Lonchura striata: one gene and its partner. The main gene of each other region encodes a partner of the protein of the gene in region 2 in a complex. Links are inferred from orthologs where the notes say so. Each region holds a gene or a part of one and is shown on either strand. Other genes may lie near its edges.

What was found. The genes of interacting proteins can lie anywhere in the genome.
Region 1: PLRG1 (region 2) and SNRPG share a complex: the UniProt entries of both Homo sapiens proteins name them as parts of the minor spliceosome. The link is inferred for Lonchura striata from reciprocal best matches to the Homo sapiens genes PLRG1 and SNRPG.

What each region holds. Positions count from the first base shown.
Region 1 is NC_134634.1:399,401-406,321, forward strand, and holds SNRPG (small nuclear ribonucleoprotein G), read right to left. Parts: upstream 2,647-6,921; 5' UTR 2,609-2,646; coding exon 2,577-2,608; intron 2,393-2,576; coding exon 2,370-2,392; intron 1,646-2,369; coding exon 1,521-1,645; intron 694-1,520; coding exon 643-693; 3' UTR 523-642; downstream 1-522. Other genes in the region: protein FAM136A, read right to left, coding at 3,469-3,657, 4,134-4,274, 5,927-6,013. UniProt on the Homo sapiens protein: Plays a role in pre-mRNA splicing as a core component of the spliceosomal U1, U2, U4 and U5 small nuclear ribonucleoproteins (snRNPs), the building blocks of the spliceosome.
Region 2 is NC_134606.1:42,269,693-42,277,452, reverse strand, and holds the start of PLRG1 (pleiotropic regulator 1), read right to left. Parts: upstream 3,085-7,760; 5' UTR 3,027-3,084; coding exon 3,018-3,026; intron 1,352-3,017; coding exon 1,245-1,351; intron 1,021-1,244; coding exon 878-1,020; intron 1-877. UniProt on the Homo sapiens protein: Involved in pre-mRNA splicing as component of the spliceosome. Component of the PRP19-CDC5L complex that forms an integral part of the spliceosome and is required for activating pre-mRNA splicing.

The sequences.
Region 1 (6,921 bases), on a different chromosome or scaffold from region 2:
AAATTCTTCCCAATATCTCATCCTGATGTCCCCTGGTGCCACCTGGAAGCTGTTTGGCCAGCTCTAGAGGGAGCAGGAGCAGTGAAGAGTTCCCAAGTAAGCTGGGACGTTTTCCTCACACAAATCCATGAGTTTTCCTCAGTTTTCCTTGATTTAGCCCTGTCTGAGGTAGGGAATTCATTAAAAGTGCCATATTGACCCCCAAAGTGCCCTCCAGCTGGGAATATTGACTCCCTGGCTGTCCATCCCTCTGCCCCAACTTTTCCCAAGGCTCTGCCAAGGAATTATTCCTCAGGGTGGGAACTGGGGGAAAATAAGTGGGAAAGAGGGAGAACCACCAACATCCACGGCCGTGTTCAGGTACGAAGTTAATAAAGAATTTAATAACCCAAGTGTGTTTTAAGTAAAAAAACCACCAGAAATAGTATAAATTGAACACCCACTTCCATAAATAAAAGTTGTACCAGGATCGGGAACAGAATTACCGCTGAGCTGCCAAAAACTGGTGCGACAAAGGCTTGATTTGGGTCAACCATTACAAAATTGATTTAATAACACAATCAAAATAATTGTACACTCGTGGGCGGCATTTTGGACGAGGGAACGGAAGCAGTGGGTGAGGACTTGGGGTTTTCCAGGGGTTTATACTCGTTCCAAAGCTTCCAGCATGATGATGCTGTTCCCTCGGATCACCTGGAAGGGGCAAGGTGAGAGCTGTTACCTAAGGGTTCCTTCCTTCCAGTTTGTTTTCCCAAAAATCCCAGAAAATTTGGCTGGAATTTCCTCCTCACAAAAGCCAAAATAGACTGATTTTAACCCGAAATCCTCAAGGATCACAGGATACCAGAATCCTTGAGAGTGGAAAAGACCTCCCAGTGCTCCAGGTGCACTCACCACCCTGCTCCCAGTACTCCCAGTGCTCTCACCACCCTGTCCCAGTGCCCCCAGTGTTCCCTGTGCCCTCACCACCCTATGCCCAGTACGCCCAGTCGCACACACCACCCTCCTCCCAGTACTCCCAGTGCCCTCACCACCCCACTCCCAGTACTCCCAGTGACCTCACCACCCTGTCCCAGTACTCCCAGTGCCTCACCACCCTGCTTCCAGTATTCCCAGTACCCTCACCACCCGACTCCCAGTGCTCCCAGTGCCCTCACTGCCCTGCTCCCAGTACTACCAGTGCCCTCACCACCCCACTCCCAGTACTCCCAGTGCCTCACCACCCTGCTTCCAGTATTCCCAGTACCCTCACCACCCGACTCCCAGTGCTCCCAGTGCCCTCACTGCCCTGCTCCCAGTGCTCCCAGTGCTCTCAGTGCCCTCACCACCCTGTCCCAGTACTCCCAGTGCCTCACCACCCTGCTTCCAGTATTCCCAGTACCCTCACCACCTGACTCCCAATGCTCCCAGTGCCCTCACTGCCCTGCTCCCAGTACTACCAGTACCCTCACCACCCCACTCCCAGTGCTCTCACCACCCCGCTCCCAGTGCTCTCACTCCCAGTGCTCCCAGTGCCTCACCACCATGCCGATGTTGTTCTGCTGCCCGCCCGCCGCCATCTCCACGCACTCGTCGATGACGAGGTTCATGAAGGGGTCGAAGCCGCGCAGGATGCCCTGCACGTGCCGCCCGCCGTTCAGCTTCACTGCGGGGAGCGGGGCCTGAGCGCGGGCACCCCACAACGGGGCCGTGCACCCCCCAAAACCAGCGGGGGGAATGGGAACGACTGAGCACAACCCGTTAATGGGACAGGGGGAACAGAGCGAATTTTCAACCCGTGTTCTAGTTAATTAATGAATTATTAATGAATGAATTAGAATTTTAATTCATGCGCTCTAAGGTCGGAAATCAGCAGCCGGGACCTCTTATCTGGGCTCTGTGAGGGGTGGGCGGGGTCCCCAAAAACCGGGTGGGGGGCTCAGGAGACTCCCACAGCGGGGCCACGAGAGGGAAACGGGGCTGTGGAGGGTCCCCAAAACGGGGCATTGTTGGGGGGTGGGTCCCCAACAGCGGTGGGCGTGAAGGGGATCGGGGGTCCCAGGGCACCGTGAGAGGGATTGGGATGGGGGTCCCTACCTGGGCACCGTGAGGGGATTGGGGCGGGGGTCCTGGGACACCCTGATGGGAATGGGGGCGGGGGTCCCTAAGCACCGTGATGGGGATCGGGGCGGGGGTCTCCGGGCACCGTGACGGGATCGGCATTGGGGTCCCTGCCTGAGCACCGTGAGGGGATCGGGGTGGGGGAGAGTCCCGGGACACCCTGAGCGGGACTGGGGCGGGGGTCCCAGGAACCGTGAGAGGGATCGGGGCGGGATGGGGCCCCCGGGCACCGTGAGGGGGACCAGGACGAGATCCGCTCCAGAACTCACACGACAGCTTCTTGTCCATGAACCTGCAAGGAGACGGCAGCGGGTGAGCGCCGGCGGGTGGCGACGGGGCAGGAGCCCCCCCGCCATTATCCCCACAGCGACCGCGCGTCCCCCGCCGCCGTTGCACCGGAGTACCGGGCAGCAGCGGCCCCCACTTCCCCCCGCCCGGGCCCCGGCTGCCCTCGCCCCGCTCGTCCCCGGCCGCACTTTTTCAGCTCGGGCGGGTGCGCTTTGCTCATGGCGCCCGCAGCCCCCGGCCGTCCCTGCCGCGCTCTGACGTCAGCGCGCCGTGCGTCTCCCCGCGCCGGCCAATGGCGGCCCGCGGCGCGCTCCCGCACTCACCCGAGTAGCGGCGCGGCAGGGGCGAGGCAGCGGGGGGATGCAGGGGTCGGTGAGGGGAGTGCGCGGCTACACGGGGAGGTACGGCGGCATGGCCGCCATGCGGGCGGCGCGGCGGGGCGCGTGCTGGGGGCGTGAGTGCGCATGTGTGTGAGTGTGTGTGTGTGTGCACACGTGTGTGAGCGCACACGTGTGTCGTGTGTGTGTGTCCACATGTGCACACGTGTGTGTGTGTGCCCGTGTGTGAGCATCACCCCCCAATGCCCCCCCTTATCTGCAGAGTTCCCTCAGCACCCAGCCCGTCACCCCCTCACAGCCCCCATTGCTCCCAGTGCCCCCCAGTTCCCCCATCACCCCCAGTGCCCCCATCTCCTGCAGTGTCTCCTCAACATCCACCCCCTCACCCCCAGTTCCTCAGTGCCCCCGTTCCCCACTGCCCAAATCACCCCCAGTCCCCCACATCACCCTGTTCCCCCAGTGCCCCCATACCTCCCATGCCCCCATTACCCTCAGTTTCCCCCATAACCCCCAGTTCCCCCTGTCCCCCCATAACCCGCAGTGCCCCCCAGTCCCCCAATCACCCCCAGTTCCCCCCATCACCCTGTGCCTCAATCACTGCCAATGCCACCCAATCACCCCCAGTTCCCCCATCACCCCCAGTCCCCCAGCACGCCCGCGGTCGGTGGAGCTGCCACCTGGCCTTTAATGAGCGCGGGGTGTCCCGGGGTGTCCCCGGGGTGTCCCCGGGGTGCCCCCGCGGTCACTGCTGGATGCTGGCCAGCCCGTCCCGCATCTTCCTGGCCATGGCGGGCACGAGGCGCAGGTGCTGCTCCCCGCAGGTGGCCAGGCAGGCATCCAGCTGGCCCCGCACACGCGGCTCCGAGCCCCCCGCGTCCAGCGCGTCCTTGGCCTGGTCCGAGCACTGCAGCGAGCAGCGGCTCAGCCGGTCCTGGGGGCAGCAGGGTCAGCGGGGCTGGGGGAGAATGGGGGGACTGGGAGCACATTGGGGGGATCAGGGGAGGGACTGGGGTGGGGTTCATGTCCTGCCTAGGGTCCCAGTGCTGTCCCCAGGGGTCTCAGGGGGTTCCAGTGCTGTCCCCAGGGGTCCCAGTGCTGTCCCAGGGGTCCCAGGCAGGATCCTGATGCTGTCCCAGGGGTCCTGGTGCTGTCCCCAGGGGTTCCAGGGTGGGTCCTGGCGCTGTCTCAGGGGTCCCAGGGGTCCCGGTGCTGTCCCAGAGGGTCCTGGTGCTGTCCCAGAGGTCCCAGGGGTCCCGGTGCTGTCCCAGAGGGTCCCGGTGCTGTCCCAGGGGTCCCAGGGTGGGTCCCGGTGCTGTCCCAGGGGTCCCAGGCGGGGTCCCAGTGCTGTCCCAGGGGTCCCAGGCGGGGTCCCGGTGCTGTCCCAGGGGTCCTGGTGCCTGCGCTCACCTGGAACTGCTCCAGCTCGGCGGTGACGATGGCCTGGGCGCGGGCCAGGGGCGCGTGGCAGCGCTCGATGCAGCGCTGCACCTCCTGCATGGAGGCCGCTGCGTCCTCGCAGCAGCGCGCGCTGCAGCGGAACATGGCGCCCTGGGGACACGGGGCACGAGGGGTTAACGGGGGACACAGGGCACGAGGAATTAATAGGGGACACCCTGGGGACACGGGGCATGAGGGGTTAACGGGGGACACAGGGCACGAGGAGTTAATAGGGGACACCCTGGGGACACGGGGCATGAGGGGTTAACGGGGAAACAGGGGACACAGGGAAAACAGAGGACACTCTGGGGACATGGGGCATGAGGGGTTAATGGGGAAACACGGGACAAGGGGGTACACCCCAGGGGCACCAAGGGTCAGGGGGTTAATGGGGGGCACCCTGGGGACACTCCGGGGACACTCCCAGGTGAGGGGGACACTGGGGACACGGTGGAGAAGGGTGACCCCCAGGGCCATGGAGGGAAGGGGGGGTCACAAGGGGTCAGTGGGGTCAGTCTGGGGGTCCCAGCCCCCTTGGGGGGACCAGCCGGGTGTGCCCTGAGCAGGGGGGGGCACAGGGAATGAACTGGGGGGCACAGAGAATGGAATTTGGGGGGGGGTCTCAGTGGTTTAGGGGGTGTCAGGGTGTGTATGGGAGGGGGTCGCAATGAATTTGGGGGGGTCACAGTGATTTGGGGGATCTCAGGAGGTGTATAGGGAGGTCACAATGAATTTGGGGGGGTTTCAGTGAATTGCGGGGGTGTCAGGGAATTTGAGGGGGAGGTCTCAGTGATTTGAGGGGTGTCAGGGTGTGTATGGGAGGGGGTCACAATTAATTTGGGGGGATTTCAGTGATTTGGGGGAGGTCTCAGGGTGTGTATGGGGGGTCTCAGGGTGTGTATGGGAGGAGGTCACAATGAATTTGGGGGGATCTCAGTGATTTGGGGGGGGTCTCAGCCTGTGTATTGAATTTGGGGGGATTTCAGTGATTTGGGGGGGTCTCAGTGATTTGGGGAGGTCTCAGGGTGTGTATGGGAGGAGGTCACAATGAATTTGGGGGGATTTCAGTGATTTGGGAGGGGGGTCTCAGGGTATGTATTGAATTTGGGGGGATTTCAGTGATTTGGGGGGGAGTCTCAGCCTGTGTATTGAATTTGGGGGGATCTCAGTGATTTGGGGGGGGTCTCAGGGTGTGTAATGAATTTGGGGGGATCTCAGTGATTTGGGGGGGGGGTCTCAGGGTGTGTAATGAATTTGGGGGGATCTCAGTGATTTGGGGGGGATCTCAGGGTGTGTATTGAATTTGGGGGGATCTCAGTGATTTGGGGGGGGTCTCAGGGTGTGTATTGAATTTGGGGGGGGGTCTCAGCCTGTGTATTGAATTTGGGGGGATCTCAGTGGTTTGGGGGGGTCTCAGGGTGTGTAATGAATTTGGGGGGATCTCAGTGATTTGGGGGGGTCTCAGCCTGTGTATTGAATTTGGGGGGATCTCGGTGATTTGGGGGGGGTCTCAGCCTGTGTATTGAATTTGGGGGGATCTCAGTGATTTGGGGGGGGGTCTCAGCCTGTGTATTGAATTTGGGGGGATCTCAGTGGTTTGGGGGGGGTCTCGGGGCCGCTCCCGGCGCTGCCCGGGGCACCCACGTGTGTTGGGGTCGGGGGTACCGCCGCAGCCCCGGGCGGGCGCGGACCCCTCCCGGCGTGTCCCCCGGTGTCCCCCGGTGTCCCCCGGTGTCCCCCGGTGTCCCCCGGTGTCCCGGTACCTGCATGGCGCGGATCTGCTCCCGCTCCAGCCCCTGCACCGCGCTCTCCACCGCGGCCTGCACCCGGCCCTGCGCCGCCTCCGCCATGGCCCCCTGAACCCGCCTTAAACCCGCCCTGGACCCGCCTTAAACCCACCTTAAACCCGCCCTGAACCCGCCTTAAACCCACCTTAAACCCGCCCTGAACCCGCCCTGAACCCGCCTTAAATCCGCCTTAAACCCGCCCTGAACCCGCCCTAAATCCGCCTTAAACCCGCCTTAAACCCGCCCTGAACCCGCCCTAAATCCGCCTTAAACCCGCCCTAAACCCGCCCTGAACCCGCCCTAAATCCGCCTTAAACCCGCCCTAAATCCGCCTTAAACCCGCCCTGAACCCGCCTTAAACCCGCCCTGAACCCGCCTTAAACCCGCCCTGAACCCGCCCTAAACCCGTCCTAAACCCGCCTTAAACCCGCCCTAATCCCACCCTAATCCCGCCCTAAACCTCGCCCCGAACCGCCCTAAACCCGCCCCAAAACTGACGAGAATCGTCCCAAAAACCCGCCCCAAACGTGAGGGAAACCGTCCCAAAAACCCACCCCAAACCTGAGGAAAACTGCCCCAAAATCCGCCCCAAACCTGAGGAGAATCGTCCCAAAATCCGCCCCAAAACCTAAGAGGAACCACCCCAAAACCCACCCCAAAACCCACCCCAAACCTGAGGAGAATCGTTCAAAAACCCGCCCCAAAACTGAGGAAAACCGCCCCAAAACCTGAGGGGAACCGCCCCAAAACCCGCCCCAAACCTGAGGGGAACCGCCCCAAAATCCACCCCAAATCTGGGGGGAACAGCCCCAAAAACCCGCCCCAAAACCGGCCCCAAACCTGAGGAGAATCGTTCAAAAACCCGCCCCAAACAGGAGGGGAACCGCCCCAAAACCTGAGGAAAACCGCCCCAAAATCTGCCCCAAAACTCGCCCCCAAATCCGCCCCAAACCTGAGGGGAACCGCCCCAA
Region 2 (7,760 bases):
TATATTTTATACTGTTCTGCAAACAATGCACTCAAACAGCAAATAGAGGAAAAGAGAGCAGATCATACACAGCAAAAGAAACTGGTAACCACCTCCAATGTAGTTAGACATTTCTCATTTTCATTAATTTAAGTTGTTCTGGTTATCTCCATTTTAGAAAACTCAACTGTAAAAAAACAATTAATTTGAATGGTGAAGCGACCTGTTATCAAGAGGACTCAAGAAAAAAAATCTTCATGCTGCCTTTGAAGCAGATACCATGTATTCAAACAGCACGGGTGTCTGAAACGTAAGCTAGTCATTTGGCTGTCTGTAATTTTCATATGGTATCTACCTAATACATCCACATTTTATACATTACAAAACACATATTTAAATAAACTCTACAGATTTGAAATAAAGCATTTTCTGGTTTAAAAATTGCACAGCTAAAAGACTGTAAATATACTATGAAACAAAATAACAAAAAACCATCCCAAACAAAAAACAACGCACAAAAATGCCTAAGCAAACAAAAGTCAACCAAAGAGCACGTCCTTAACCATCATGAACTTGCAAACATAAGAAATACATTACTCAACTGTAACACCTAATACACTAACAACTCCACACACTAATGTTACCAAAAATTACTCTTTTTACTAATTCATCACTATAAAAATCCACAGCACCCAATAACTCCTTTGTTAAAAGCAAAGTGATTTCTGAATCACTTACCACCTGTGGACCCTAGCAAAAAAATACCAATCAAAAAAGGGTTTTTTTTGATTTCTGCATTTATCTCCAGTGGATTAACGCTAGACTGCATTCTGAAGATTTTACATCACTGAGACTGTTACAAAAGAAAGAACAAATATAGCACTAGGGGCCAACTAACCTTGATTTCCAGAATACTGTTTGTGTCCATAGGGATCCCCCGTGTTGGCGCCTCCTTTCTCCCTCAGGTTCTCTTTGAGCGTGGGCATGTGCAGCACTGAGCCGTACTCCGTGCGCAGCTTGACAGCCATCTTCACCTTGTGACTGTGGCAAGAGAAAAGCAAAATCCTCACTGAACCCCACTTTCTGAACCGCTACCAGGTTTTGAAATATCTTAGAGAGGATGTCATAAAACTTAACTTTACAACCCTAATATTTCTCTCCCCTCAAAACTACACTGTTGCCAGTACAGAAATATCTGAATTTCTGACTTGGGTGGAGCAATCACTGACAGAGTTTAAAACTTCACTGAGTGCAGCAGCACTTACCTTTCTTCATCCAATGGGATAGGTTTGGCATTATCAGCTACAAACATGTCATGGGTTCTCTTCAAAGACCTGAACACAAGTGTGTGCACAGAATGCTTTTGCACTTCCTAAAATAAAGAAAAGAGTATTTAAATAAGTTTGAACAGATCTACATCAAAAACTGAAAACTGAAACATAAATTGAACTGAGTAGCAATTTCTCAGTTCTATGACATGCAACCATTTGGTTCACAGAAGACACTAATATTCTTGGAAACTAAAAAGTTAAGTTATTATGTCAGTTGTTTTACTTCAGTGTTTATTCAAAACTGTATTCTATTCCTTGAAAACTTACAAGAATTTGAAAAGCAAGCCAAAAACTTTAATCCAACTTTCTGCACTGGCATTTACATGACAAATCCATGAATATAAAAGCTTTTATCCCACGTCCTTCCCAGTTCTGTTTTCATATGTAAGCAATATAGAAGCCAATTCAGAAAAACAAACAAACAAACAAAAACCACCTGTACATTTTCCTTCACTACCACTGTGAAAAGAACATGAGCAGTCATTAATTTCTATGTACAGTACCACTTCATGTTAACATGGCTAATCACCACCCAAAAACAGCAGCTGTTGACAAACAGAGGAGTAGGTACCACCATGTCTCCCCAACAGGGAAGAAACTTGCTGCAAGTAATTTTTGATGGATGCTTTTTGAAAAAAAATAGCTCATAGTGTTGCATCAGGCAGCAGTTGTTGCACCTTCTTCTACAACTCTGACAGCCCCACATGCCTTCAGAAGTGCATGATATTCACTCCACAGTAAAGATTCTACCACCTGTAAAACCAGTGGCCTCCTCCACAGGTGTGCTCGCAAGGCCTCACAAAAGAAGCTGGCTGACAGAGTCAGCAGTAGGTTTCTGGTGGTTAAACATCACAGCATCACTTCCCCACAATCACAGAACAGAATGTACTGAGCTGGAAGTGGCTTACAGGGATCACGGAGTCCAGCTCCTGGCCCTGCATAGGACACCCCAAGAGGCACATCCTCTGTGCCCAAGAGCATTGTTCAAATGCTCATTGAACTCTGTCAGCCTTGCTGCTGTGATCACTTCCCTGGGAGCCTGTTCAAGCACCCCTCCACCCTGACCTTTGCCTGATATCCAACCTAAACCTCCCCTGACACAGCTTCAGGCCATTCTCTTGGACCACCACAGATCGGATCCACGATCAGATCGGAGCCTGCTCCTCTGCTTTCCCCTCGAGAGGAAGCTGTAAACTGAAATGAAGTTTCCCTTCACCCTCTCCTCCAGGCTGAATATGGCAAACGACTTCATCCATTCCTCACTCCGACCATTCATTCTGACTATTCATCTCCATATGCTTTATACCTTTTCCCGATGTTGTGGTACCCAAAACAAACCCCAGCACTCGAGGTGAGACCGCCCCAGAGCAGAGCGGGACAATCCCCTCTGGTGACGAGCTGGCGGCCCGATGGGCCCCAGCGCCGGCATTCGGCACAAGTCTGGCAAAGCAAAGCCGCTGCTCACTCCCGGCCACACACGCACACTCCGACCCGCACCTCGCTGTCCCCGGGCCGCAGCGGGCGGGGCCGCGCAGATGGAGGGGCCGCCACGGACCATCCCTACAGCCCTTTCCCACCCGGGGACTGCGAGGGTGCAGGGCGGCGCTTCTCCCGCCCGGCCCCAACCCGCTCCCGCTCCCTGGTCTCGCCCGGAGCGTCTGCAGGCCGCGACAGAGCGAAGGCGCGGGGCCGCTCCCCGTGCCTCACCTCCGCCATGGCGCCGCCGGGCTCCCCCGCCGCGGCCGCTCTGGAGCCACTTCCGGCGCCTTCCCGCGCCGGGCCGGAAGTGACGCCTGAGCCCGGGCGGAGGCGCCGAAGCGGCGGGGCGGGGCTTATGGCAACCCCTCCACTCGCTGTGCGGTGGTTCAGGGTTCGAGCCCCGCTGGCGCTACCGGAGCAGCCGGTGCGAGTCACTTCAGCAATGTGTACAAATATAGAGAGGGGTGGTGACAGGAGAATGAAACCAGGCTCTGTCGGTGGTGCCAAGCAACAGGACAAGAGGCAGTGGGCAGAACCTCATGCACAGGAAGTTCCACCTGAGCATGGGGAAAGCGGCACAGAGAAGTGGCGGAGTCTCCATCACTGGAGATAATCGCAGCCCTGTGCCGCATGCTCCGGGATGGCCCGGCGGGATCCGATGACCGCACTCACTGCGGTCCCTCCGGCCGGAGCCATCCGCGGCCATCCCGGGGCGCGCTGTCCCCGGCGGCGGGCGCGGCGCAGTGCGGCCGGCGGCCGGCAGAGGGCGGTGTGGCGCTGCGGAGAGGCGGGAGCGGCCCGGCCCGAGCGCTGCCCCGCAGGATGCGGGATCGAGCCTGGGCTGGGCAGTCCCGCTTCCTTGGGCCTGAAACTATCGCACTTTGCAAGTGTTTAGGGCCGTGGGGCTACAGGGTTCATGTGTTGCTTTCCTCGTGAGTTCTCAAGGGTAAAGCCATACGGTGTTGAACTGCGGCGATATTGGATGTTAGCCATTATAGCTGATCTTTTGGGAAGGGTGTCTTTAGTTTGGCTCCACAGGACCTCATTTTGATGAAGAGCAAAGGGTGTGAACAAGCTGGCGACCCCTGTACTTCATGTCAAAGTGTTGGCTGTGAAAGGGCAGAGGCTATAATTCTATTACAAACGTACCCTGTTAGTCCACCAGGTATTTCACTTCCATTTGTGAGCAGAATAACTAAATGCATTTGTGCAAATTTCAAATAGGCACCTACTTTCTCCACATATACTCACCTGTTCTTAATTTTAAGAAGTCTTGTCCTCCTGAGCAGTAGCTGGGATTTGGCAAGCTCATCTTTTGCAGCCACTCCGTCATGATGCTCTTCTTTACCACCAAACCAGCCACTCGCTCTGTCTGCTTGCCTGCATGCCTGAGCTGTGAACAGTTTGCAAAACCATCTGAGCTAGAAGTAATTCAGTGCAACATAGCTGGTTCAAAACTGCTGTCTTCTACAGGACAGCGTTAGCTTGGCATTTCTGGCACACAGCTTGCCTACTTGACATAAATATCGTGTCTTTTCTGCAGTTGGTGGGTCACTTCTGGTGGCTGCGCTGGTGCTTTGTATTTAGTAATTTAGGATACAGTGATGGAAACGTGCTCGAAGTGGCTTTGAGCCCCATCTCCCGTTCTAGGTAGAGTCGGGAAAAGATGCCAATTACATTGTGTCAGTAGTGGGGAACTATTGCCAGCTCAGCTTCAAGCCAAGGCAGGCAGGTTTCATGTTTAACAAGCCAGCCTATTTTGGTATTACCTCTGGTGTGGCTGGCAATCCCCGTTAGATTTCAGAGCTTGCCATAAACACCAGCACAGCATCTCGCAGAGAGGGAGCTTTGTCTGCCCTTGCTTAAAGTGCAACCTAGAGTGCAAACTCCACAGGGCAGTGTGTCAAAATGGGGCAAGTCTCTTACATCCTCTTGGGCTGATGAGGTTAGACTGAAGATACACAACATTTGAAAGGAAACTTGGAGAGAGCTCAGAATTTCAAATAGGTTTATCTTTCTTTTTTAAAGTTGCACGCAGAATAGCATGTGCCTGCTTGATCACTCAGTTGACTGGTGGATTTGATGTGTGGAAATGGTTTAAAGGGTAGTCTCTGGCTGTTTATAGAGTTGTTTCTTTCCTATTTTCTGTTGAAAGAAATCAGATTTATTTCCACTGCTTTTTAAAGGGAAACAAAATTTGAAATATGCACTCTGGTAGCAAAATTTTAAAAATTATATTTAGCGAGAAAACTTGTCTGCACTTGTTATTACTATCAATAGAAGTATTCACATGGCCCTGGAGTTGCTGTAGTTTTCCTATTTTTTTTTACACATAAACATTCCCCTCAGAAATTTATAACCTGAATTTGTTTCCTGTTATCCTGGTAATGCTTTAGAAACTCAGAGGACAAATTCATCTTTTCAGAGTTTTCAGAATCCAGTTAGGGGACAAATTTATTTTTTTTTCCCTAGAAGGTTTAGTCTAGGGTGAAATTTAGACCTGGAACATCAATAAATCATGACAGTAATATTAATAAGAATATGCACTTCATTAATTTTCTTTGTTACGTATGACTTGATGTGTGCTTGCATGTCAGCTACAGCTGCAATTCTGGAAATAGCTAACAATGTATTATTTTATAAGCACTATTTCATAGAAGGTGACTAACAAATTGGATGAACTTTTAGTGTTATATGAAAGCCAAAGTGAATAGCCCAGTCATTAATGTTGCTCCCAGAACATTGAGATAGCATTCACGATCATTTACAAGAAATCTTTGAAGTAATATTTGCTACCAGTAAAAGCAAATAAGAAGGATGTTCATCTCAGCAGAGGTGAACGTTTAAGTTTACAATATTCTTTTCATAGGATGGCACTATTACAACACAACTGTTTTAAAAGGACATTTCTAAATCAACAGCTATTTTTAAATTGAAACGCTATAGCTCAGTGTAAGCCAAGAAGGTTCTGTTCCCCAAGACCTCCTTTGGGGATGCATCCAGCTCTGAAGAGCCATGATCTGGTGATCACGGCTCGCCTGGGTCGGGGGGTTTGTGTAAAGAGGGTTGCATCACTGGCCAGCACTACAAACACCAGGGCAGCAGGCAAACAGCCGTTCCTCAAAACACACACACGCCTCTGCCAGTAAGTGCCTTTTTAATAAAAAATACTGTACACAGGGGTGTCCTGGAACACAAACAGATCCATGGAGTATTATTGCAGTTTCTAGCAGACATGCTGTGGTATCACCACCACATTACCTCTGGGAACACCTTCTCTTTAACCACGTCAGTTGGAGGAGGGAGTATGAAGGAAAAGAGGTTGTTCTGTTTTGAAGAGAGTACTTCTTTGATACCATTTTTCGAAGAAATGTAAGCTATAGTTTTGGTTCTTCATAAGGTTTTATTCAATCTCTATAAAGCGTCAACCTGACTGTAATGGTTTCAAGCATGAGAGTAAATCACATCTCATAACTGAGATGCTAATGGAGATTAACTTCTGCTGCCAAAATGCTTTCCTGTATGTGTGTGTGTTTGCCAGGATAGACTCCTCTTTATGTCAGTCCAAATTTGGACCGTTTTTGTTGCTAAAAGCCTCCAGGCACAACCTCTGCAGTGCAGACAAGGCCCTTGCTTACAGATGGACAGTCACACGATCCCTGCCCTGAGGCATCTGGTCATTTGGCAGGTAGCCCCAGCCTGCTGGGGTGTGACATACACGTGTTGCTCATGGAGAATCCTTGTGGAGACACCACCACCCAGCTCTCCTAGGGAAGCCTATGAAAGGTACTGGAGGTCAAAGGCTGAGTTTCAAAGGGCAAATCCCATCTAAGGCAGAATAAGCCTGGGGGTTTCCCATGCTTGGGCTCTGCAGTTGGCTTGGTGGCTCCTGCACCAACTCTCATCATGCAGTCTCTGACAGCTTCTGCACAGACACAGCCAGGGCTCTCCATCAGGCGCTAAAGAGAGCTTAATGCCTGAAAGAGAGCACCATAAATTACTGAAGAACATGCTGATAGTTTCAAAACAGATTTCGCACAAATATCACTTGATATTATTAACATTTAATTAAGATTTGTGTGAACTGAGCTGGGATAATTTGAGTTTCTAGCTCAGGAATAGTGAGACCTAGTTTTAGTTCCACTGTATCACAGGCTGCTCATAAGCCCTGGACAGAGGTTCAAGGATTATGTCCCTTCCATATGAAAGATGAGAGTGGCTGAACTTCCCTCAGAGGTACATGGAGGGAAAACTGTATTAAAAGTTAGGATATTCCCAAAACCAATGATAACATCTTGGCTAGCATCCATAAGTGGAAATAACTTGTTAATTATGTCAGTTTTGGCCATAGACAGATTTCTTAATGTCTTAGGGAGAAGTTTGTGTTCTTCCAAATCTAATAGTGTTGGTGCTGTCCTCATGCAGATCCAGTTCAGTGGAGTTTCAGCTCCTTGAGCCATGGCTGATTTGGGGCCAAAATGTTTAATAATTAAACCAGTCAGGTTAAACAGTTTTCATATTTTGTGAATCTCTGTAGTTTACTAGAATTCTGACAACAGCATCAATACAGGAAAAAGGTCTAAACCAATACATTTTAGCTGTTCTTATCTTTGATTCCTGTAAAATCCTCCTCTCCATCATGTTAGTCTTTGAAATGGAAGCTTAGACCACAGTCTACATCCCTTCATTGTTTCAGACATTGATATGAATGACTTCAGAAAAGTGTGCTGGCTCCACTTGGCAGATTTAATTTAATTCTGTATATTATAGTCATTTATAACGCCTGAGAAAATCACAATATATAAACACACTGAAATGTTAAAACTCTGCCAATATAAGATCTATGATATGCAAGTTCCTATAAAATATTAGAAAGTATGTTTGAGCATTTCACTATGATTTCAAGTAACTTCATGCTGTTATTGTCTCAAGAAATTATTAAAAACATTTAAATAATATTTGAAAGATGCA